Neodiprion lecontei: one gene and its partners. The protein of the gene in region 3 interacts with the protein of the main gene of each other region in a biochemical or structural test. Links are inferred from orthologs where the notes say so. Each region holds a gene or a part of one and is shown on either strand. Other genes may lie near its edges.

Evidence for each region.
Region 1: the proteins of DNA replication licensing factor Mcm3 (region 3) and kelch-like ECH-associated protein 1B form a complex in vitro, tested with the Homo sapiens proteins (2 studies listed by BioGRID, with this or other methods). The link is inferred for Neodiprion lecontei from reciprocal best matches to the Homo sapiens genes MCM3 and KEAP1.
Region 2: the proteins of DNA replication licensing factor Mcm3 (region 3) and cell division cycle 7-related protein kinase form a complex in vitro, tested with the Homo sapiens proteins (2 studies listed by BioGRID and IntAct, with this or other methods). The link is inferred for Neodiprion lecontei from reciprocal best matches to the Homo sapiens genes MCM3 and CDC7.

What each region holds. Positions count from the first base shown.
Region 1 is NC_060263.1:38,076,123-38,083,666, reverse strand, and holds kelch-like ECH-associated protein 1B, read right to left. Parts: upstream 5,843-7,544; 5' UTR 5,278-5,842; intron 4,545-5,277; 5' UTR 4,529-4,544; coding exon 4,226-4,528; intron 3,846-4,225; coding exon 3,681-3,845; intron 3,540-3,680; coding exon 2,872-3,539; intron 2,788-2,871; coding exon 2,539-2,787; intron 2,452-2,538; coding exon 2,153-2,451; intron 2,045-2,152; coding exon 1,842-2,044; 3' UTR 1,025-1,841; coding exon of another isoform or gene 967-1,024; 3' UTR 910-966; downstream 1-909. Other genes in the region: uncharacterized protein LOC107225684, read right to left, coding at 1-234, 693-888, 967-1,024. UniProt on the Homo sapiens protein: Substrate-specific adapter of a BCR (BTB-CUL3-RBX1) E3 ubiquitin ligase complex that regulates the response to oxidative stress by targeting NFE2L2/NRF2 for ubiquitination.
Region 2 is NC_060261.1:17,271,040-17,277,581, forward strand, and holds cell division cycle 7-related protein kinase, read left to right. Parts: upstream 1-1,793; 5' UTR 1,794-2,010; coding exon 2,011-2,059; intron 2,060-2,174; coding exon 2,175-2,394; intron 2,395-2,473; coding exon 2,474-2,567; intron 2,568-2,674; coding exon 2,675-2,817; intron 2,818-2,977; coding exon 2,978-3,095; intron 3,096-3,869; coding exon 3,870-4,050; intron 4,051-4,148; coding exon 4,149-4,298; intron 4,299-4,428; coding exon 4,429-4,556; intron 4,557-4,672; coding exon 4,673-4,795; 3' UTR 4,796-5,633; downstream 5,634-6,542. Other genes in the region: myb-binding protein 1A-like protein, read left to right, coding at 1-154, 315-774; protein unc-45 homolog B, read right to left, coding at 5,823-6,542. UniProt on the Homo sapiens protein: Kinase involved in initiation of DNA replication. Phosphorylates critical substrates that regulate the G1/S phase transition and initiation of DNA replication, such as MCM proteins and CLASPIN.
Region 3 is NC_060261.1:28,714,506-28,722,853, reverse strand, and holds DNA replication licensing factor Mcm3, read right to left. Parts: upstream 6,040-8,348; 5' UTR 5,934-6,039; coding exon 5,859-5,933; intron 5,773-5,858; coding exon 5,660-5,772; intron 4,399-5,659; coding exon 4,190-4,398; intron 4,091-4,189; coding exon 3,960-4,090; intron 3,823-3,959; coding exon 3,584-3,822; intron 3,460-3,583; coding exon 3,217-3,459; intron 3,113-3,216; coding exon 2,749-3,112; intron 2,546-2,748; coding exon 2,241-2,545; intron 2,152-2,240; coding exon 2,001-2,151; intron 1,880-2,000; coding exon 1,637-1,879; intron 1,567-1,636; coding exon 1,361-1,566; intron 1,146-1,360; coding exon 947-1,145; 3' UTR 350-946; downstream 1-349. UniProt on the Homo sapiens protein: Acts as a component of the MCM2-7 complex (MCM complex) which is the replicative helicase essential for 'once per cell cycle' DNA replication initiation and elongation in eukaryotic cells.

The sequences.
Region 1 (7,544 bases), on a different chromosome or scaffold from region 3:
AGTTCTGGTTGAAGCCTTGATATATGCACAATGTCAATGAGTGCTTGCATGGTATTATCCCATTGATTTTCCTTCAACTTCAGTAACGCTAGCTTCAGCGCATCTTGTGGTCTTTCAAAGTTTAGAGCTGCTGTCGCATAATTTTTGTCCTGTAGCTTCATATTATCTCCACCAGGATAAAGCATGCTTTTTTGATTTAAACTGGTTCTGCTGCATTCGGTATACACGGAATTGCTGTGTTCAAAGGAGGTATATAAACAAGCTAGCATTGTTGCTAAGAACTTTGCAACTTGTCCAAAGCTTCAATCTTCATTAATTAAGGGGAGTCTTTGGTGAAACTTTGACCAAAACACGGGTTTTTAATTCTTGACTGATTAAATAAAGTCGATTAAGAAAAATCTTCTACCAATTTTTAGATTATGGTAGTATAGGCATTGAAAAAAAAAATTCATTCTCCTGCGATCAAAATGTACGTACGTACATACAAGGAACCTCTCCAAGGAGATTCTGCTCACCGCTACCCAAAATTCTTTGCGCATACACTTTCATCACAGGAGACTGTAATTTTCTCTAAAAGCCAATACTACCATAATTTGAAAATTGGTGGACGAATTTTTTTTATATGACAATTTTCAACCGATAATCAAAATTGAACCGAATTCTCTCCGTAATGAATATAATATCTGTAGTACCTATGAAGTATTTTTGGTAAGTGTACATCCCCGATACCCTCTGTGGCAGAAAAATTAGAGCTGTAACTCGAAGAATGCCTCTTTAGCTTTGTATTTTCAGAATTTATAGCTGGTAGTCGTAGTGAACGCTTAGGATGAACAAGTGTGGACTTTTCTTGACTGAAAGAGAGCCTTGACTTATCTTCATTGCAATACCCTAAAGTTAAATAAAATTGAATTTGACTGTTAATAAACTTTTACTGATATTTCAAGTTGACATAAGTTTTTTCATTACCTTTTCCTAGACACATAGGACAGGTAGTCGGTTGATTTTGACACTCCAGTGGCAACATGTTTAATCGCAGATTTGTGTTTTTTAAAATTTTTTTTAATTTTACAGAAATTATTCAATATTTAATGGGACTAGTTTCATCTGGAATTTGAAAAGTTAGTTCTAGGTCTTGAACGTGCATTTTGATAAACAATGGAAATACAAAATGACTGCCTTCAGCTTGCAATATTATACTATGTGGAGTAAACTCCTTTGATATTTGCGAAAAAATCATCAACATTCCAATTTATTCTTGTCTTTTTAGTCCTTGTGACAGGTACTGATATTAAAAAGTATTACCAATTAACGAATATCTCATGGTTTTTCCAATCACAAATTATACTATTAATTAGGTGTTTGCATAGTTACTAAAATAATGTACAACAATCAGTTGCGTAAACAGAATGAAGAGAATTATAGAAAATAGATCATTCGCCCTATAGTAAATATGGGTACATCGTTTTGTTACTGATTGAGTGATCTTTGGAATTGCTTTCTGCTTCTAGTTTGTATCACTAAGATTGTCCCACTTGCCTATTTTAATTTTTCACTTACCAAAGATATCTAGGTGAAGATATGAAATCGAATCAAACTTGTTTTGTAGTCTGTTTGAAGGAACTTGTGCACAGTTCACTTTTCTCAATTTATGTAAGCACTTTCTAGGCAACTCAGAATTCAAAAATATCCTCTGCATAGCTTCACTACCTGCTTGATTAAGATCAATCTCAATATAGTCTTATCTCCTTATACTATCGTTACACTATATTATTATACTACACGTCATTTACAAATAAATAAATTAAATCGCGTCATCAGGTCACAGAATTCGACATAGGGTGTCAAGATGTGCGTTTCGTTGATCGGTTTTCACTAGAAACAATGTGATGTTCCAAGTGATCACAATGCAACGGACATTGGTGATAAGAAACCGCACTCGCATGACCTGATCTACCCGAAGTCATAGGCACTCCTGGTTCCCATTGATCCTTGGCTGGATCGTATATTTCTACTATACTTAAAAAGGTCTGTCCGTCATACCCTCCTGTAACGGAAAAGAACAATAAAACTTATACATGAAATGAGAGAATTCAAATTGTCATAAAAAAAAAAAAAAATCGTGTCAATTACGATATATACACAAGACACTAACCCATTGCATAAAGTTTTCCATCTAGAACAGTTACGCTCAAAGCACTGCGCGCAACTGAAACATTGCTCACAAACTCCCATGAATCATGTTCCGTATCGTAACGTTCTACTGTGCTCAACTGACGAGATCCGTCATAGCCTCCTACCACATAGATGTACTGCCCAAGACTTGCTACACCAGATCCTGACCGACAACACCGCATGGGAGAGACCATGGTCCATTCGTCATTTTCTGGATGATAACATTCTACTGAACTCAATCTATGCATTCCATTAAATCCACCAATTGCGTAGAGCAATCTATAAATACGAAATTTCAGAGTCAAGGTTTTTTTTAAGTGCCCGAGAAAGATTGCTTAATGGAATCTTGAAAAGCATTCGTCATACCTATTTACTACAGCAACTCCGACTCCTAATCGTTTTGTGTGCATAGGTTTAACATTTGTCCAGGTATCCTGATCCGGGTCATAACATTCAACGCTGTTGTGATATTCTGCACCTGCGCTGCCACCTACCGCATACAATACACCATCCATTACAGCAACTCCCACTCTGTTCCTTGGCACTGACATGGGATTACAGGGTCTCCACTGGTCAAGAACTGGATTGTACCTGTCCACCCAATCACTGTCGTATCTTGAAGATGAGTAAAAAAAACTGTTTGTTAACGATTACTTGAACTAAGCAGGTGAACCAATATCTACATGTTATTAATCTCACCTGTTTCCTGGCGAATTGTTCCTTCCACCGATGGCGTAAAACATGCCTTTTAAAAATGCTCCTCCAAGTCCGGAACGAGGCACTGTTAACTTAGCATGTTGACTCCAAACTTTGTCGTCGGCATTATACCCTTCAAGAACATCCAACGAATGTCTAAGAAATCCACCTGCTATGTAAATGACTCTTGGTGTGTTGGGTGTCCTCTCTTTGACGACTGGTTTCTTATGCAATGTTAGGTCTTTAAAAATTTGCGCTAGATACTCGCGGCAGGCTGGAACTTTTTTTAAAACATCGCAATTTTTCATTTGTTCCCTAAGAAAGCTCGGAGTCAAATACTGACACCGAACTGCGTGCAATATATGTTCCATTTTAATACCGCGAGATTCCTCGTTGTATTTCACCCATTTTAACACTGCATTATAAACTTCTCTTTCTTCCTGTACATTAAGTTCATCTTTTCTAATTAAATTAATTAATTGTATGGCCGTAAGTTGAAGGAATTCTTCTTCTTGACAAATTCTGCTAAAGTGTTGCACGATAAATTGATTTGCTTTGTGATGTAAATCGTGACAACCATGCTGTTCAGCAAAATTTGCAATTCCGATAGCATTTGTTGGGTCCAATTGCCTCTCGAGAAATACGCAGCATGCATCTATTACATTGCCAACCTGTAATTCGAATGTCAAATATTTCGACACATAGCTAACAATAAGAACGATCGTGTATTTTATTCAATACATATCAGCTATGGAATACTTTTGAACATTTCTCAGCTTATAACCTATGACAATTACCTAGGAATACTGTACCTGAAACATTGTCGCCGCAGGTAATAACGAACAGACTGTTACTTCAGTTACTCTTATTTGTCCCGTGTACATGAAATACATGAGCCGAGCCATCGCTGTTGGACAAACCCCTTGCAATTTGACTCTGGTCATTTCACATTCTTTAAGACCTCCCGTGAACATTGCCTAGAATTTAGAGTAAGAAAATTTTTATTATAAACAGACACGAGGTATTGACAGTATCACTGACTACGAAGCAGTAATTGAATGAACGCTTTCTGTAATTCAGCAGTGTTAAATTATTCCTGACCACCGGGATGTTGTACTATCAACACTTCAAGTATTATGAAAAAATCAGGACTTACAAAGTGAGGCATTGATTGATATAAATGAAAATCAGACGAATTTGAATAAAGTATGTTAAATTATTTGAAGTGATTGTTTTTTAAACAATATACACGTAGTAACTGAAAGTTAAAAGATGTTTATTTCATGATTCTAGACTGAAAGTAATATTAGCTGGGAATAACTAGATGTGGATGAGGTGTAAAAAAATAAAATGATACCTTAAAATAAGGACTTGCCGCAGCCAAAATGACTTTGTGTGCATGGAACAGTTCTTGTCCAACTTCTAAGATAACGTCGGTAAGCATGTGATGACTTCGCATCATAAACATCATTTTCATAGCTTCTTTTATATAATTAGCCATGCAAAATGTCATATCGCCAAGGTCTCCATGTTTCTCATTACCCGGACTAAGGTTCTGGTCCTTTTCTTCACTGGTATCAACTGCTGCATCACTTCTACCGAATGATGTGAAATTACACCGACTTCCTTCCATCTGCGAATAATCCTCTTCACCATCCATGATGATCTATCATAAGCTAGGTAGAAATTGAGTAAAATTACTTTTACTGTTATCAATCTGTTATCACACGTTCTGGTTGTTTTGAGGGACTAAATAGTTTTTCAATCATGTCGTTATCTCAGATTTGAATACAACGTAAAATGTAATTGACAATATTAAGTCTATTTGACAAAAGAAAATATTTCCATTCAAACAAGTACAATTTTCCATACAGTATGTGACAAAAGCCTAGATCGGAAATGACAATGAATAAATGATAAGAAAAAATGGAGTTAAGTGAAATCATAAGATATTAGATAAAAGAGTATATCGTTTCTATTTGTGGAATTAATAGTTTCATTGATGAACGTCTTAGCATTGTTATACATCTGGTCATTCTGTTGGAATCTAAATATAATTAACTTTAGTATTACAAGTGCAGTTATTGCATATTGCGTATGAAAAGTAAATTTGCGTACAATCAGATAGGTGTACCAAAATAGGCATGTTCTGGCAAGCACCGGTATAGCAAACAAGGTGTACCAGAACAATATTGTGTGTGACGTAAACTATATTTTGGTTCATTTTGGTAGCTGTACCAGCGGCTTGCCAAAAAATGCCTCATATGGTTTTTAACACATGATACCGAGCATGGAGTATCGATGATGAAGAAATGCAACACATGCACGGGCGCAGCAAGGGTTTCGGAAATTTAAGCGGCCCATAATATTTATTAGGTATTTCTATAATAACTTAATGTGTGTATGTACCTTGTGTCCGTAGCGTTGAACAGATCCGAATCAGATTAACTTTGAGGTTATAAACCACACAAGTAACGATTTTGACTATGTATCTCCAGAAAATGACACCATTTACCAATTTTACATCCTGAAGAGTTTTCTGTTTATCATGATTCCCGCATGACAATGAGTGTTTCAAAGAAATTTGTAACGACTACACTTGGGCGAAACACAACAATACGGTATGCAAATTAGCGCACAGTAAGTTGACGGTGTTAAACGTCAGTTGTGTATTATTTTATTTTCACGAGTATTTAATTTTCCACCGCCCAACGTGTGACAAAGTGGCAGAAATGTCAAAACTGAAATTTACTATTTACGCAACGTGTCACTTTAAAACGCGCGAAAAAACCTGCACGTTGATATCCACGAGAAAAAGAAAAAGGATCGGCAAGAGGACAAACGTTTTTCCAAATATGCGATTTTAACATCTCGATTAGTTGTTGGCCATTGAGTATAAGCTCTATATCACCTGGAGGGGTCAAATTTCGGCTAGAATGACTTGCTGATTCAAATATGTAGTTATCTCCGATCATGCGAGCTTTCAGCCTTTGGCACGTAACTTACTGGCAGCGCATTCATACGATATGCATGTGTGTATGTACGTAAGTACGTCATGTAGGCCTCTGGAGAAGGCACTCGTATAAAATATACACACATATAAGTCTATTGTTGATTGAATAGTTGTCGGACACTCGCGACCAGATATCCGTTGATGAATGGAATTAAAATGAAATAACCGCAAGGGGTGTTCACTATGCAGTTGTCAAGGAATCAAAACTGCCGTCGCAATATTTTGATAAAATAATTCGAGTAATATGACCTATACATGTCCACACATTCACGCCTGCAGGTCAGCTTAGCTAGCTATTAGCCTTGCTTATTTTCCGAAAGTCATTATGACTATGCGATTCACGGAACGTACCCAGGAGACCGAGTAAAAAAAATTTTCGTACATCACGTAGACAGCTGTTTTTTTTATCACAACTATACTCAATGTTTTCTTTCGTCTTGTTCTTTGCACACTCAGGGGACCTACAACTGTATAACGATGTGCAACACTGATGCACCTTTATAAGATCATTTTCATTCAGTTTACGAGTGGTAGATTACTATTGGACCCGCGGGCCTTGAGGTAATAAACGCAAGTCTCGAATGACAATTGACATTGGTATTTTCTAATCGAAGCAATGTTCGGTTACGTATCGTTCATTTGACGAAGAATTTGGTGGAGAGGACAAAGCAGTCTCTTCATTTTAACATCGTTTCATACGGTTTACCGCAAAGGACAATTCACACTGTGACCTCTCTCACAATAAATCTTTGGAGACAGAGCATGACTGGCTTAAAGCCACCGCAGCATGAGATTGCTTTTTCCTTTGTACTTTACACTTTATCTGTACATTATTTATAAATCTATCGTTCACGCATACGTGTTACGTATCGCGGCTATTATACAGGAATATGATTTAGGGAATTCCAGAGATAGATACAAGATGTAACATAAGGATCGAATGGGATGATTTAATATATAGTCTCAAACCTGAGACAATATAATATTTATTTTATAATAATATGGAGTTTTCATCAACAATAACAGTGTAGTAGTAGGCGTAACAAGAGAGACGAGGTAGGTCACGAGGAACCTAACCTAGCTTACAACCGTGCGCTACCAGGTCGCGAGTTAAAATACTGAAATGCTTTGATTTAAATAACTGAAAAATGATAAACTATCAGGCGGATATGATCGCGATTCTTTATACTGTTTATACGGTTATCTTCGTTACAGAGTTAAGCCTCCGTTATTAAAATTCTTTCAGAATTGTATACTACAAAGGCAGACTTGGCAGCGCATGATTAAGTCAGCCGGGAGACCAACCTTTGATTCAGACTTTATTTAGCGTGAGAAATAAGATGATTTTCGTTTTGTGAAAGATGGCCCAAAACAAGATAAAGATAAGTAACAGAAAAATCTTCCACGTGACTCACTGAAATATAGTACGCATTATTATATTTCAGCGACGTGTCTAGATAGAAAACAAAGGACAGTAAAGCGACTCAACTAAATCACAGATTGATCCCACCTGTTTAAATATTACAGCTAAAATTAGTTTAGTAAGTCTATGTTTGATTTCCTTAGGCTCGGGTGACTCTAGACTGGCCCCCTATTATTTGTATTTTGATCACTCTTTAATAAATTGCAATATCAATTAGTTATTCCTCATCATCTACTGTAA
Region 2 (6,542 bases), about 11 Mb from region 3:
TGCACACCATAAAGCACCAACATCAATCGAGCTTTTGTGATTGGGAAGCTGTCGGAACGACGATGGCTATCTACAGGTCTAAATCCTCATTAGCTAAGGACGCTAAAAGAGCTTACAATCGACTTGCCAATCAATTAGGCGTTGAAGTCAATACGTAAGTTTCAGAACGTTCTATGTTACAATTCACAAATTAATTCTTTTCAACAGTAATTCTAAAAGATTTTCTGCGCTCTAATAAATTAGGCTCACGGTCTTTATTTTATTCATTCGATTCATCACTATTAGCTATTATTACATGTATTTTCAATTTTCAGTATACAAAACCAAAAGAAAGAGGAAAAAATAGAAAGTTGCGAACATGCAGAAAGTAATGGGCATAATGTCGAAACTGGATCAACAGATGATGACAAGTCTAGTGAAGATTCTAAGGAGAGAGATAAACAGACAAAGAAGCTGAACAAGAAGAAACAGAAGAATAAAAGCAAACAGAAAGATATACAGCAGCTAAAAAAAGTTACGCGTGAACTCCGAATGAAAGCTATGTCAGATGGATTCAGTTCAGTTGATTTTAGTGCAGTACCTGTACATTATATCAACGATGTAGACATGGAAATTACCGCGGATGGTGAATCGTCGCGAAACTGTGAAGTTCTGGCGATAAACATGTTACAAAATAGTACAGACTTACAATCTGGGAAAAGAGTTTCACCTAAGAAAAGGTCGGCTTCAGAATCGCAAAATATACCCTTCAAAACTAGTAAAAAAAAAAAATGACATCTCTGAATAGATAAAATAAATATTGATATTTTTTTATACAATTAAGAGTTACAGCACACGCATAAGTCTTGTGCTCAATTTAATTTATGACGCTGTGCGCGCTTAAGGTAATCATTTACGGGACTCATGAAGTACATCTTTGTCACATTGAACCTGTTGAAACGTTCAAGCGGAGTAATAATAATCGGCTAACATTTTTCCCGATGTTGTACATTTTTATGTATTGTTTAAAAATATACAGTGTAATTAAAATTGTAGTAGCATTCCTAATTTGACCTGTCGGCGTATTGGAGTTACAAAATTGTTTCTGGTTTGACTTCCAACGCATAGATAATTCGTAACAGAACTTTTCAGCATTCCTTACTTACTCCGCATCCATCTCTTTCTCACCAGCTCAGCCGTATTCACAGATACGACAGGTACGAAAACTCCCATGGTGGTGGCAAGTCAGTTTCAGAAATGTCCCGCTAAAGTTGAAGCGCTGCAATCTAGAAGTAGTCGAACCCTTAGAGCATATCACTGATATATATATATCAGTGGGTTATACATTCTCATCAACCACCTCCGTGAAGTTGGCCCCCCGAAGTTGTTATTTTTAAATCTAATTAATGCAATTCGTTTGAGAATCGTTTGAGAGGGTTTGAGAGTAAAGAAAAATCGTTTGAGAGTTAGTAGTTTTTCCGGAAAATTGATTTTAATTTTGGGTGTGAAGTTGGCCCCCATATTTTCTCCAACTTCACGGAGGTTCATCAACCGACGCAACTTGACAATGAGAGCCAAGCGGTTTAAGTTAGATTTAAATATAGCCGAATGGCGCTTCGATCAGCAGATTCACCACCATAAGCAATCACATATCCCTAAGTATGTCTTCCTTCTGGAAGGGAGAGCCAAGTTGTGACTATGAAACGAGGACCCCTCTGAGATTCATGGAGCCTTCATCAAGGCGTCCTTCATCCTTGAGATAAGGAGAGACTATGAACACGGGTATACTACGATGTTAATTAAACTTTTCGGAGGTCGCGGATTTCTGAACACATGTACTCAAATGTGTCGATTATTCCATGAAAGTCGCAGTTCTATTCCATCAGGTAGCTTAAGATTGGCGCCAATATGCGAAGAGAATCCTTGTAGCATTAAATCTTGGTTGATCGTTACTTTTCAGATGGAATTTTTCCCTAAAAAAGTAGTCTGTGTAGTTGTCGGGACACTGAATTCTTGTGCGAAATTTTGACCATGAATATAGTATCTTCGGTTAATAATTCTGGTAACAACGTTGATGAAGGTGGTGCATCAAAATTGTCTTAATTATTTGTTTGCCTTTAACCATACAAGTATTACGTGTAAACGTAGTTTCAGTGATGGATCTTAAGCAAATGAATTTCTCTTTCCAACTCTAGAAAACGAGAAAGACAAAATTTCATATCTCATTCGAAAGCTGCCTGTTCTGGGAAACTTGTTTCACATACACGGTAAAATCGGGAAAGGGACATTCAGCTCTGTGTTTTTAGCCACTTTAAAGACATCCACAAACCAGCGTAAATTTGCCATCAAACATCTTGTGCCTACGTGTCATCCGAGGAGAATTGAACGTGAGCTACAATGTTTGCAGGACATAGGGTACACCTGTTTCTATTTCCTGCTATATCGATCGCCTGCTTTTCTTTCAAAATGTCTATGACACTGAAATTCTTTGCAGAGGTACCGATTATGTTGTTGAGTTGGACTTGTGTCTGCGGAGTGCAGAATGCATCGTGTTCGTAATGCCGTATATGAAGCATGATAGGTTCGCTGTACGTAAATTATATACAAACAAGTATAAACTTATGATTTGAAAATGACGTATAAATAGGTCTCTTTTAATAACGTTGTTTCACTTAATGAGAGTTAGTATTTTTAGGAATATGTTCACGACATGACCGTTGATGAGACTAGAAACTATATGAAAGCGCTGCTGGTTGCCCTGCGGCGAGTACATAAGTTTAATATTATACACCGGGATGTAAAACCTAGTAATTTCCTCTACAATCGTGCTATGAAACAGTGAGTTATTTATTTCAACATCTAAGTGTGTGATATAGTCATTAAAAATTCCTGGTATTTATGTGGCTTTTATTTGCTGTACATAAGATGTGTGTAAGAACTGGTCAAAAACTCGGTTCTATTGTTCTCAACATGTCAAGCTTGTGTTATCAAATTTTAGGTATCGACTAGTCGATTTTGGGCTAGCGCAGCAGTATACTACTGAAAGTAACACAAGTAGTCAGGCAGAAACATGTGTCATTGAATCTCAGCCAGGAAAAAGAAAAAGAAACGATGTGGTAGGAATGAACTTTTTTGATTGAAGCCAGTATAATTAAGCATGAACGGGTCACCATGTAAATCAACATTTAGAAGAAGATAAAAATCCATGTTAAAACCTCTAACAATGTTATTTGTCCCAGTAATGGTCTACACGTATGAAACGACACCCCTACCAAGCGATAGAACTGAATTTGAGCAAATTTAACCTACTTGAGCTTAGACGCCAACAATTTGAGAGAAGGTTTTATAATCAGAATGAATGAGCCAATACATAAATTCTGACAAAAATCGCCAAGATCTAGTCATTTTCAACGTTTCAACTATTAAACCTTTTCTCACATTGTCAACATCTTGTCGTGTGTTATTCGAATTTGCCCACATTTTTTTCAACTACATGGTGCCGATATAGTTTAATTCATCTTAATTATCATTCACGTGAATAACATTGCTGGAAATTTTTTAGATGGTTTTTTCTTCCTTCTTTTCCCAACTTTTGATTCAGGCAGCAGGACTATCTCATTTTTAATACGAAACGTATTGAGAAATCATGAAATTCAAGTTGGATATGTTAACGCAACGATCCATTTTTAGGAACAATCGTTATGTTACAATTTTAGGACAGTTTAATATCCAGTAAACCGTAATCAAGCAAAACCAATCTCACATTCTGAAAACTCGAAACCTTCAGTCATAGTGAAGTTGTAAATCAATAATTTTTTTTCAACTCTTCAACCTGTTTGTTATTTCTGTATTATCTTGACAATTATTATCAGTTATTTCTTAATTGGCAGAATGACGAGACAGGTCCTGTAAAAAATACTGGCAAGCCTATAGATGTGCAATGCATATGCTATGGAAAACCTCGAATATGTTCTATCTGCCTATCAAAATCTGCTCAAACTGCCCCTCGTGCTGGTACGCCTGGATTTAGAGCACCGGAGGTGCTACTCAAGTTCCCTTCGCAAACGTCAGGTGAACACATTCAATTCATCCTTCGTCAATCCTTTGACATGATTCTAAAAATTGGTCAGTCAAGTACCGAAAATAAAAATGAAACACCTTATTTTTAGCAATTGATATTTGGGCCAGCGGTGTCATAATGCTTTGCATCCTGAGTGGAACTCACCCTTTTTTTCGTTCGCCAGATGACTGCACAGCCTTGGCTGAGATAACAACAATCTTTGGTTCGACCAAAATGCAACAATGTGCCAAAAAATTGGGTACTTTGCTTTATTTTCCGTTTTACTGTTTAATTAATTCACATCATACTTTGATCTAAAACGACTAAACACAGAACCAAATAGCTGGATAGCACTTTTATTTATAATACAATAATTTTTTTTTATGCAGGTAGAAAACTTACATTTAGCGAAAACATACCTGGAATTGATATTAAGTTGCTTTGTCAAAAATTACAAAAGAGAAATAGCCTTCATCGAGAGGAGGATCCCAACACTAGTTGTAGTAACAAGAATCAGGTATTTTCAAATGTTATTTTTCATTATTTTCACTTTCTTTATTTAACGCCGATGTGCTTCATTCTTTTTCTGTTTATATCATTATTAACAGTTCTTTTTTTTTTTCTAATTTTAAGGAAAAAATTGATACTGCCTATCCTTCGGCAGCATATGATTTATTAATTAGGCTGCTCGATCCAGATCACTGTACAAGAATAACTGCGGAAGAAGCGATAAATCACACTTTTCTCGCAGACTAACCATTTGTATTTAATTACTTACGTGTCTCGTCAGAAATTCATTCTTGCAAATACTGTTACCTGATTTTAAACAACGAACATGTAATACGTTTCAACAATGTATAAAATTGGTCTCTAGTTGCCTGAGAATCACAGTGATGAAGTGTGATTTATACGATCTGCAAAGTTCATCTGATAATACGTGCCTTGTAAAACATCAATACAATTACGATGTGTTTGTTTGTTCAAATAATGTATATAGAGAATATTTTTATATTTATTATTAATATAAGTATTGACTTCTGTCGCGTACTATATAAATCAAAACTATACATAAGTTCGTTAAAATAAAAATTAATATATTTTATTTAAAATGCAAGTTTGCTAGTAATTTTAAAGAACAACTTTTCAAAAGTTGTCTTTTTGTATATAAAAGAGATGTATTGAATGGTTGAAAATTATTTAGCAATGTACTATCAATTTTGATATTTCGACAATTCCTATAACTCAATTTCGTCAGGTAAACACAATAGTCGTGTAGTAGGTATAAATATATTTTATTATAATATATTATCGAAATAAATACTGTACAAATTTTTTCCAACAATTTAAATTACAAAATTTTAACTTGCCAATATCCAAGTGCATTAATACTATGTTACAGTGTAAGTAAGAATGAACTTATAGAATTCTTAAGTATAAATCAAAATGATTGAACATTATCTAGTGCCAAAAATATTTTTAAGTACTTGAGTGCGTTCATCTAGAATCTTCAGAACAATGAATGATGATGTATGAAAATGTTGTGATATCAATAATAACTAAAATAATTTCTGATGTAAGAAAACGTCACACAGTTCCCACGAAAATAAAAACAAATGCATGTATGGATATAGAAAAACAAAATACAGGAACTTTTTTTGTGTCGTAATGATAATATCTGGGCAAATTGAAGACTGATTAGCAAGTAATCATGAATCGTGATCTGGTAAGTAACGAAACATGTGTAAAATAGCTTATAACACAAAGACTTTGTATAAAGTGCAGACTATTCGACAGCGGCAGAATCATCCAGATTGATATTACTAACGCCTTGAAGGTCTTCAATGTTTTTCTTAATCAATTCCCACTTGGCAGCAGTTTCCAAAGCCTTAGCGGCTAATTCCCGTATCGTCTTGTCCTCAACGGCCTCGGTTTTAGTCAGCGCCATTAAAATCTCCATGACGTCAGTCTCAATCAATTTAGCGGCGACATCCTTGGTGCTGGATATCATATTAAGCACCACAACGACGCCTCTGTGCTGGATACTCTTGTTCGGATTAGCCAGAAGGTAGTGAATAGACTCGAGCCAATTTTTCGAGTCGAATATCTTAGCGCAAGCTTTGGTGCTGTTTGCGGTCAGCATTGCCAGAGCACCAGCAGCAGCCATACTGGTCTCCTCATCCTCATCTTCGCACAAAATTACGAGATACTTGACCCTGTCATTGTCGCCTTCGTAAAACTTGAGCACCTCTGGAGACATCATAAGGTTGGTGATGACTTGAGTAGCGGCACGAGTCAGCATCACGTGATCCTCGTAGGCGTAGTGTTCGATCTTCTGAAATCCCCCCTCCTTGAAAATCCTGCATCTGACGCTCTCGCTGGTTCCGGCAAGATTGCAGAGCGCCATGAGCGCCTCGAAGTTCTCCAATGCGGAGCATTCCTGTTCCAATAGAGCGAGGAATGGCCTGATAACTTCCATTATTCGCTGCCCTGGAAATGCCACTTC
Region 3 (8,348 bases):
GCGTATTATAAAAATATTCATATAATAGCTAAAAACGATTGTATGAGCTTGAAATTCAATGAGATACAGTAAGAGTATTGTATCCCTACACTATAGGGAAATTTTATATAAATATATATATATATGTGTGTGTGTGTATATATATATATATGTATATAATATACGTACGTAAATTAAAAAATATATTTACATAAAAATGGAATATGTAGAGATTTAAAGTATGTTCATGTTATTGTGATAAATGTTGATCATTGTTGCCTAGTTTATGTGCCAATGTGTTGTATTATGAAATTATACATAGAGCTGATCAATGTTACTGTAATTTCTAATCCCTTTTTTTTACTGCCAAACAACGTGAAAAGACCTTCCAAAATTACATTTGTAAGCAAATGTCTTCTCTACTATATTCTTTACATACAACAGAACTCCTATAAATTCGAACCACTTAAATTCAACATCCCCTACTTTAGAGGGGGAAGTTGCTTCTGCTGATCTTGCCTCTTTTCAATGCAACTACTGTACTGCGCAATACATAGAGCATTCGGAGACAGCGACAGAATATGTATTAGATGAATATTTTGATGGAGAGGGTAACCCATAAATTCTAATTCTTAAAATTCTCGACCCTGTAGCTTCAATTATATATGAGTTCTACTGTACAGTTATAGATTGACTTATCACAAAATCAAAAATACAAAAACAATTAGGAAAATGGAATAATTAATGTCTCATCTATAAAGCAAATAAATTCATGATGTTTCTATCTTTTTTATTTTAAATCGACATATTAGTTTCGTAATAAAACACTATATCCAATAGATGAAAATTACAAAAATAATTTTATATGAATCATTTTAAACCGGGTAAGAAGTTGGATCTATTCAACTGTAGTGAAACGACACAAAAAAAAAAAAAACAAATAAAAAAAAAGCCATGTGAGATTTACCTAGATCAAAAAAACTATGTTATCCGCCAGCATAATTTGGTTAGCATCTGTCATCTCTGTTACAGCAGCAGTAACTTCCGCCTTTGTGAAGTCTGGAGAATGTTGACTGTTCACGTATTCGTGTACCCTTGACAGAGGAAGTGACTGAGAACGCTCTTCGCGGAACAATCTTTGTAGAGCATTTCGAAAAATTTCCAACCTGTTCCAAAAACGGAAATGAAAAAAATTTCAATTAGATGCATAAGAAATATATGACAAGAAACTATCTTCGAAGAAATTTAAAAAAATCCAAGTAAAAACAATGAATTTCAAAATATTCATCTACATCTATAAAAAATTCATAAGCCGCGAAAGATAATTTATTAGCTCGTCACATTGAGTTTAATCAAATTAAATTTGTTAATCTTTCGTTACCTATTTTTGTCAATGGTGACAGGACTCGTTTCTTCAACTTGTGCAGATTCAGTTGAAGAAATTGTTGTCACATTTGAACCATTTCGAGGAGCAGATTCAACTCTTACAATTTGTGAACGAGTTGTTCTTCGAATAGCTTCATCGATATGCGTTTCATCTTCACTATCGAATTCATACTCGTCGTAGCCATCCTCTCCAGGTTGTTTCTGAAACGTAATCCAAGTGTTAAAGTACGCAATGAAATATGGAGCATCTCAAATTGTTAAAAACGACAACCTTTTCTCTTCTTGAGCGCTTTTTAGTTCTATCCTCTTCGTCTGCACTCTGTGTGCCATTTTCACTTGTATTTCTTCGTCGTTTCTTTTCCTTCTCCAGCACCTTCTTGAAATAGGCGAACTGAACCAGCTCTATTGCCGCATACGCGTCATCCACGGTAACGTCTTTTGAGAGTCTCGCTTTGGCATGTGCCGTTGAAAGACGAATGAGAGTTTCCAAAGCCCGAGCAGTTATGGGTTGTGTCTAAACGTAAGTCTCACAATTATTAAAGAAATTAAGCATTAAATCACCTCATTGATTTCTATAAATCAAGTAGCAAAATTTTTGACTAGATTTCATAAAACTATGGCTTTGATAACTTTACCCTTGCCACATCGGACTCAACAGTATCTTCTGATCTTAGACGAGAATACTCATTTGCGATCACTTCGCTCGCTTCTTCCGTAAGATTTGGTTTCATACACTTCGCTATATGGATGTATTTTCTCATGAATTTAACACTGAGTATTTTATCACTGAAAATAATACATCAAGTTATAGGAAAATGTGATACTCTTTATCCAACTGTGACAAGTTGGATAGTACTGAGTTGGAAAAATTCTACCTTTTTGCACGAGATAATCCATGTAACAGAGGATCGTATTTCTCATATACCAACGTTTCTGTCTCCTCGTCATCTACTGTATCTGGATTCTTTGTACTGAGCAAATCAACATTGCTTCCCATTGGCAAAGCTTCACCTTCTTTTTCTGTATGATTTCTGTACCGATGCATCCTTACGACATGATCGCTTATCATATGGTCTTGATCCGAATCAATCAGATCCAACATTACAAATAAAAGATCAAATCGAGAGAGCAGCGAATCTTGTAGCCCAATATTTTCCATCGGTGTTTTATATTGGTCATACTGAAAATTTGTTGCCAGGTTTGTTAGTCAGTGCGACTGTGAGACACACATTTTTTTTAATTCAATTAGAAGAAAATTACATCTTTTGAAGACACTGCTCAGACATTTAGCTCCAGGTTAATTAATGAGTAAGTTTTAACAGTTTATTTAGGACTTAAAATTTTTTGAAATTTTAATTGAAAAGTTCAATAATGCATACTTACTCGACCATATACAGGATTAGCGGCAGCTAATACAGAACAGCGTGCATTTAAACTGGCATGTATTCCAGCTTTGGCTATAGTAACTCTTCCTTGTTCCATGACTTCGTGTATGGCAGTCCTGTCCATATCAGACATTTTATCAAACTCGTCAATGCAAACGACGCCACGATCAGCTAATACCATCGCACCAGCCTCGAGCCTTCTTTCTCCTGTCTCTTGATCAGTTGTAACAGCCGCTGTGAGACCAACTCCTGAAGAGCCCCTACCAGTTGTAGGAACTGCTCGGGGAGCGGTACACAAAACATACCGCAAGAGTTGAGACTTAGCAACAGAGGGATCACCGATAAGCAGAATGTTAATATCTCTGAAAAATGTTAGCCCTTCTTAATTGTGTTTTCCAATATGTTACAAAAAAAAAAAAAAATGTTACTTGAAAACTATTTAGATCTCAAAACGTTATGAAATTACCCTCTTAATCTTGTTCCATTGGGTAAAATTTTCTCAACTCCACCAAGTAACAGACATAGAATAGCTTTCTTAATGTATTCGTGTCCATGTATCGATGGAGCTAAAGATTTGCTCAACAGTTCAAAAATGTTATTCACGTGATTTTTCTTGGCCATTTTTTTGCACATTGTAAGATCAGCTCGAGATATTTTAAGATTGGCATCCTTGTTCAACTGAGAAATGTTGTTCGCAATAAGAATAGTCCTGGAAGAATGTAACAAACGATAATATCATTAATTGAGATGATCTCATACTTAAAAGTCAGATATAAAAAAAACTTTCCAGCTGGAATGAAGCAACAAAACACAAATTTGCTACTGTCTCACACCTGAATGTTCCAGATGTAAATCCTCCTTGTTTGCCAGGAAGACATCTGTAGTTTCCAACTACTTGGACCCTGTCTCCAGGCTTGCATAAGTCTACTAAGTCATTATCGCAGATTACATCCACACTGCGAGGCAACTGTCCCGCCGGTGCTTTCTCAGGCATTTCCTGGATTGACAAAGTCTGATGATCCTTGTAACTCGATAATCCGTATTCAGTTTCGAGCGCATTGCCATCATCGTCCTAATCAGTCACATTATTATACTTTTTAACACCTCAAATTAATATATAATCAATAAATTGCTCTAGCAGAGGTCAAGAACCAAGTTCTGTTAAATATTATGAAACCATCAACTATGTATATTTCTGTGTTTCATTACCTGAGTTGGATAAACATTGGCACTTGGGAATGGATCAAAAGAAGTAAGATCTGTGTACTGTCTTTCGGTGGCAACCTTTGTCGCTGGGCAATAATGAACGCTTCTGACAACCTTGGGTCTCACCAAAGAGCCTTCAAATTGTAGATAAAAATAAATTAACAACACTATTATTTTCGATCACATTCTATTGATTTTCTTAGGCCACTACATAGGTTTATCCTTCAACTTACATTTCGTAACAATACCCTCAACGCACACTAAATTGCCAAGAAACCTTGATGTCAAAGTTCGAGGCGTCGTATGTTTGGTACCAAAGCTGCCCTCAAACGCAATGAACAAATCTGGATGGTTCTTACAGTATGACGGATCGATTGTTTCAACATACTGCTTCAATGCAGTTTGGAAGGCCAATTGTTCCTCAAAAGAGTTGCTTAGCAAACTAAACGCCAACGAATTTATTAGTTAATATGCACATACAGGGAGGTTTTAATTTTGGAAAGAGTATTAAATCCAAAGTCTCACAGATAATTTCGAAATCAACCTAATTCACGTGATATAGATTTTGTGTGTTTCTATCATCTCAGTAGCAGAAAGTTGAAATCATAAGACGTTCAGTAGTATACAATCTACAATTTCGATATTCTTCTACAAATGGTCAAGGAGATACAGCTTGGGCAGAGTTAATGACAGTGAACATTGCCATTTTTATGAAATCTCCTGTTATTGAAGTGATTGCTATATCTGAGTATGCATGTGTTTATGAAATTTACATATGTATAATACAGCTCTAATATACATAAATCACTTAATTAGAAGACGTTTTGAACTGACTCTTCACATTCCGATTACCAATAATGCCAACATTTAAACATTGAGAAATTCATTAAAAAAATGTGTTATACATGTTCTCAATTATCCAATGTAGTTTACAGTGAAATAATTGTTTTTGGCGTTTCTATACTCAATTATGAACAAGAACATACTCAGATATATTTTCATTTGATGCAAAACAAAGGAAATGGCATGGTTTCTATGAAATCGCAATTTTAAATTCATAGAATTCATGCCATTCCTTTATTTCTGCGTCGAATAAAAATGTATTGGAATGTTTTAGTTAAGAATTATGTATAGAATGGGGCTGTTAAGCCCATGTTCACGTTCGAGATACACGAACTTCAATATTTGGAGATGTATACGTCAATGTCAAAATCGACTAGGACACCTTCTTAAAGAATAACATGGCCTGAATTTTTTCCGTTTGTGAAGTCAGTGGCAGTTCTGGATATAATTTAATGTATACTGAGATAGAATACACGGTATATTAGAAACTACATAATTGTTATAAAAAAAATTTTACTTCATAATTTGTTAACATCAGTGGCTAACTATCTATTCTCCGAGGGTGGAGGAATTACCACTTCAAGTGGAGTAATCGTATCTAAGTTCAGTGTATAAGATTAAGTGACTACAGACTACTCTAGGTAGATAGCCAAAGGGATTGTTTTGAAACTCGTACCAAGGGCAGAGATCCACATGAAATTACGTCAGATTATTAACTATGTTACGACATGCAGTTATTCACATGCCTTTTTTTTGACATTGCTTTCATGAGATCCGAATAAACTTCAAGATACCACCCATGGCTAGCTGACTTTCGGCGTCGTTGCTAAAAAGACAACAGTCAACTTGGTGAAACTAACCTCGCCGCTCTGCTTGGACGTTTTTTCCTTAAATCGTTGACGTTCACAACGAGTCGGTGTTTTTTCTCATCGATCATTGCTTTAACTAAATCTGTGTATCTCCCCTGATCTTCCTGGAAATATGAAAAAATGTCATCGGGTTATGATTAAGGTTAGGAGTTGCCGGTGTAGGGTGAATTTTCATTTCAGATTTACAAACCTGATCATCTAGGAAATCCACATACTCTCGCACCATGTTTTGAATTTTCTGCTCTATCATGGGATCCGCCATCATTCGTATTATGCGATACTTCCTGATAAATAATACGCGTCAAATCTTTCCGAGAAATATCAAGTATCAAATATATTACAAACGTAAACACTTAACGCGGCGAGGCAAATTGTTTGCGCGGGAATATGGAACCGTGAAACATAGATACTGAAGAAGTGAAACGTGGTGGTGAAATTCAGTCTTTGCGGTATCATGGAGTTCAGCCGCCTAACTTTTTTAATCTTTCTCATTTTTTTTTTTCTTACTTGTTTAGCACAAAAATTATTGGTGGGTAGAGTAAATTAGAGTCACAGACATATAAGAATAGACCACAAGAGTCAGGTGCGAGCGTGTAAGCAGCTGCGATAGTTGCGTATAGATTATGAAATAAAATAATCCGTGATCCGGAAAATCGGACGCCAAAACAAACTCTAAAGTAGCCAAGCCCCTGGCATGCAGTAATTCTGAAGGTCTTCGAAATGTCGCCGGCTGCTAGTGTAGCTGGTTGTCTGTGACAACCTTAGAGCATAAAATTTCTAAACTCTAAACGATAATAGTAAATGAAAGACATCAATACGATTTTCATTAAATGCCGGCATTTAATTAGATGACTAGGCTTTTAATTAAATGCCCGATTTTATTAGATGCCTACGACATATATACTTCGGTCAACGAGAACGTAAAGTACATATTCTCAGTTAACGGTAAAATTTCTTTTATTGATTTACATTTTTGTTTTACAACAGATTATACAATGTTTTGATGCCTGTCCTTTGGACTTGACTCAAATTTTTCAATACATGGATAGAGGATTGCCGAGAAATATTGTTCATTATTTGTGTGGAAGTGTATAATAACAATTTTGGGAAAAAATATTTTACAAACAACGGCGTAAGCGTCCCGTGAACGGATTTCAATCGGTTCTCTAAGGACAGAAGATGATAATTCTCCCGCTCTCTCTGTCGCTCTACCCATGGAGTGGGGGCCACGAGAGGAGAGAAGGGAGAAAAACAGCCTGGCAGGCGCGTACAGCTACCCCCACTCCATGGAAAGAGAAACAAGGAGAGCGGAAGAATTATTATCTTCCGTCCTTCAGAAAACTGATTTGATTCTCTTCTGAGCGCCGTGCGGAATCAGTCGTTTATGGGCAGCTGGAGCGGAACCGCGTGTATTCAGAGCAGTTCAATATTCAGACCGCGTTGTTATAAGTAGTTGTGAACGTTGAAGGTGAAATACGTGTCCCGAGTTTTCTTTGTTTTGTGTAATTTCGGATTTCAATGATGTCTATTTTTGTCTCTGTGCGTCGAGTGTCAATTTTATTACTTTTTTGGCTGATTTTCGACAAATGCGTAGTTGCATTGTTAGCAAGTTTATTCAGTCGGTTCAGACAGCTACAGCACAAAAAGTGAGTGTAGAATCGAGTGTCATTGCGGTGTGGATGTTTGGATTATAAGAGATTAGTGAAGTTCTGAATTATGTAAAAAGTGCGTCGCTTCACCAATTCACCTAAGATGCTACAAGAACTACTACATGTAAAAGTGTGGAGCAGCCCAGAGTCGAGGTAAGAATACTTATTTTGATTATTGCTTGATAATTCAAGGTGGTAAAGTTAAAGGCGAACTTTTGTTCTTGCATAACATCCAATCTGCTAAATTAATTCAAATCTTTTGTTTTGTTTTTCACAGATTTAAGCAGAGACTTCCGAGTAACTTTTCTATTTCTCGGCAACGTTGGTGAGTTTGCATGTGTTAGGTTATGGGTATTTCCCTGGGATTCCTCTGTCACGTGGCGTGGCGGTAACAATTGTTACACAAATCTTCGATTTCTTAGCTGCATGGATAGGCTCATTCACGATGGCAACGTGCTTGACTTTCGGTCGAATAATTTTTTTTCGCTACCCAATTTACCGTAGCTTACGTGAAGTTAGAAATTTTGCACGTTGCTAAGAGTGGAATGAGCATCGCGACAGGTAACCATCGCATACTCGGCATTCGCGAGATTGAATTGTGTTTTGCAAATGATGTAATAATCTGCGTTTGAATTTACCGATGATGTCGTTTAAGTGGTGGGTTCACCTGAGGTTTGAACGTATTCAATTATTCACATTATTGTTAAGTCGATAAAATTCCAAAGTTTGGCATAACGTAACGTAATCAAATTGCATCTTATATTATATATCATTTTGAGTCATTTGACAGCCAACAAGTATTGATTAACTACAGGCTTAGCTCGCTTTGAAAAATGCTAATTAGGATACAGGATGTTTTTAATCGATTTTACAAAAGGTTAATGTACCGATAGTCTGCCAACATTTACTAAAATAATACATACAATATCAGGGTTGGCGAGATACAACCGCAATACTGTGTTCTGAGTAGGCAGACTACGATACAAAAACATTTTGCTCCCAACAGGTAACCAACGAAAATGTAAGTCAGT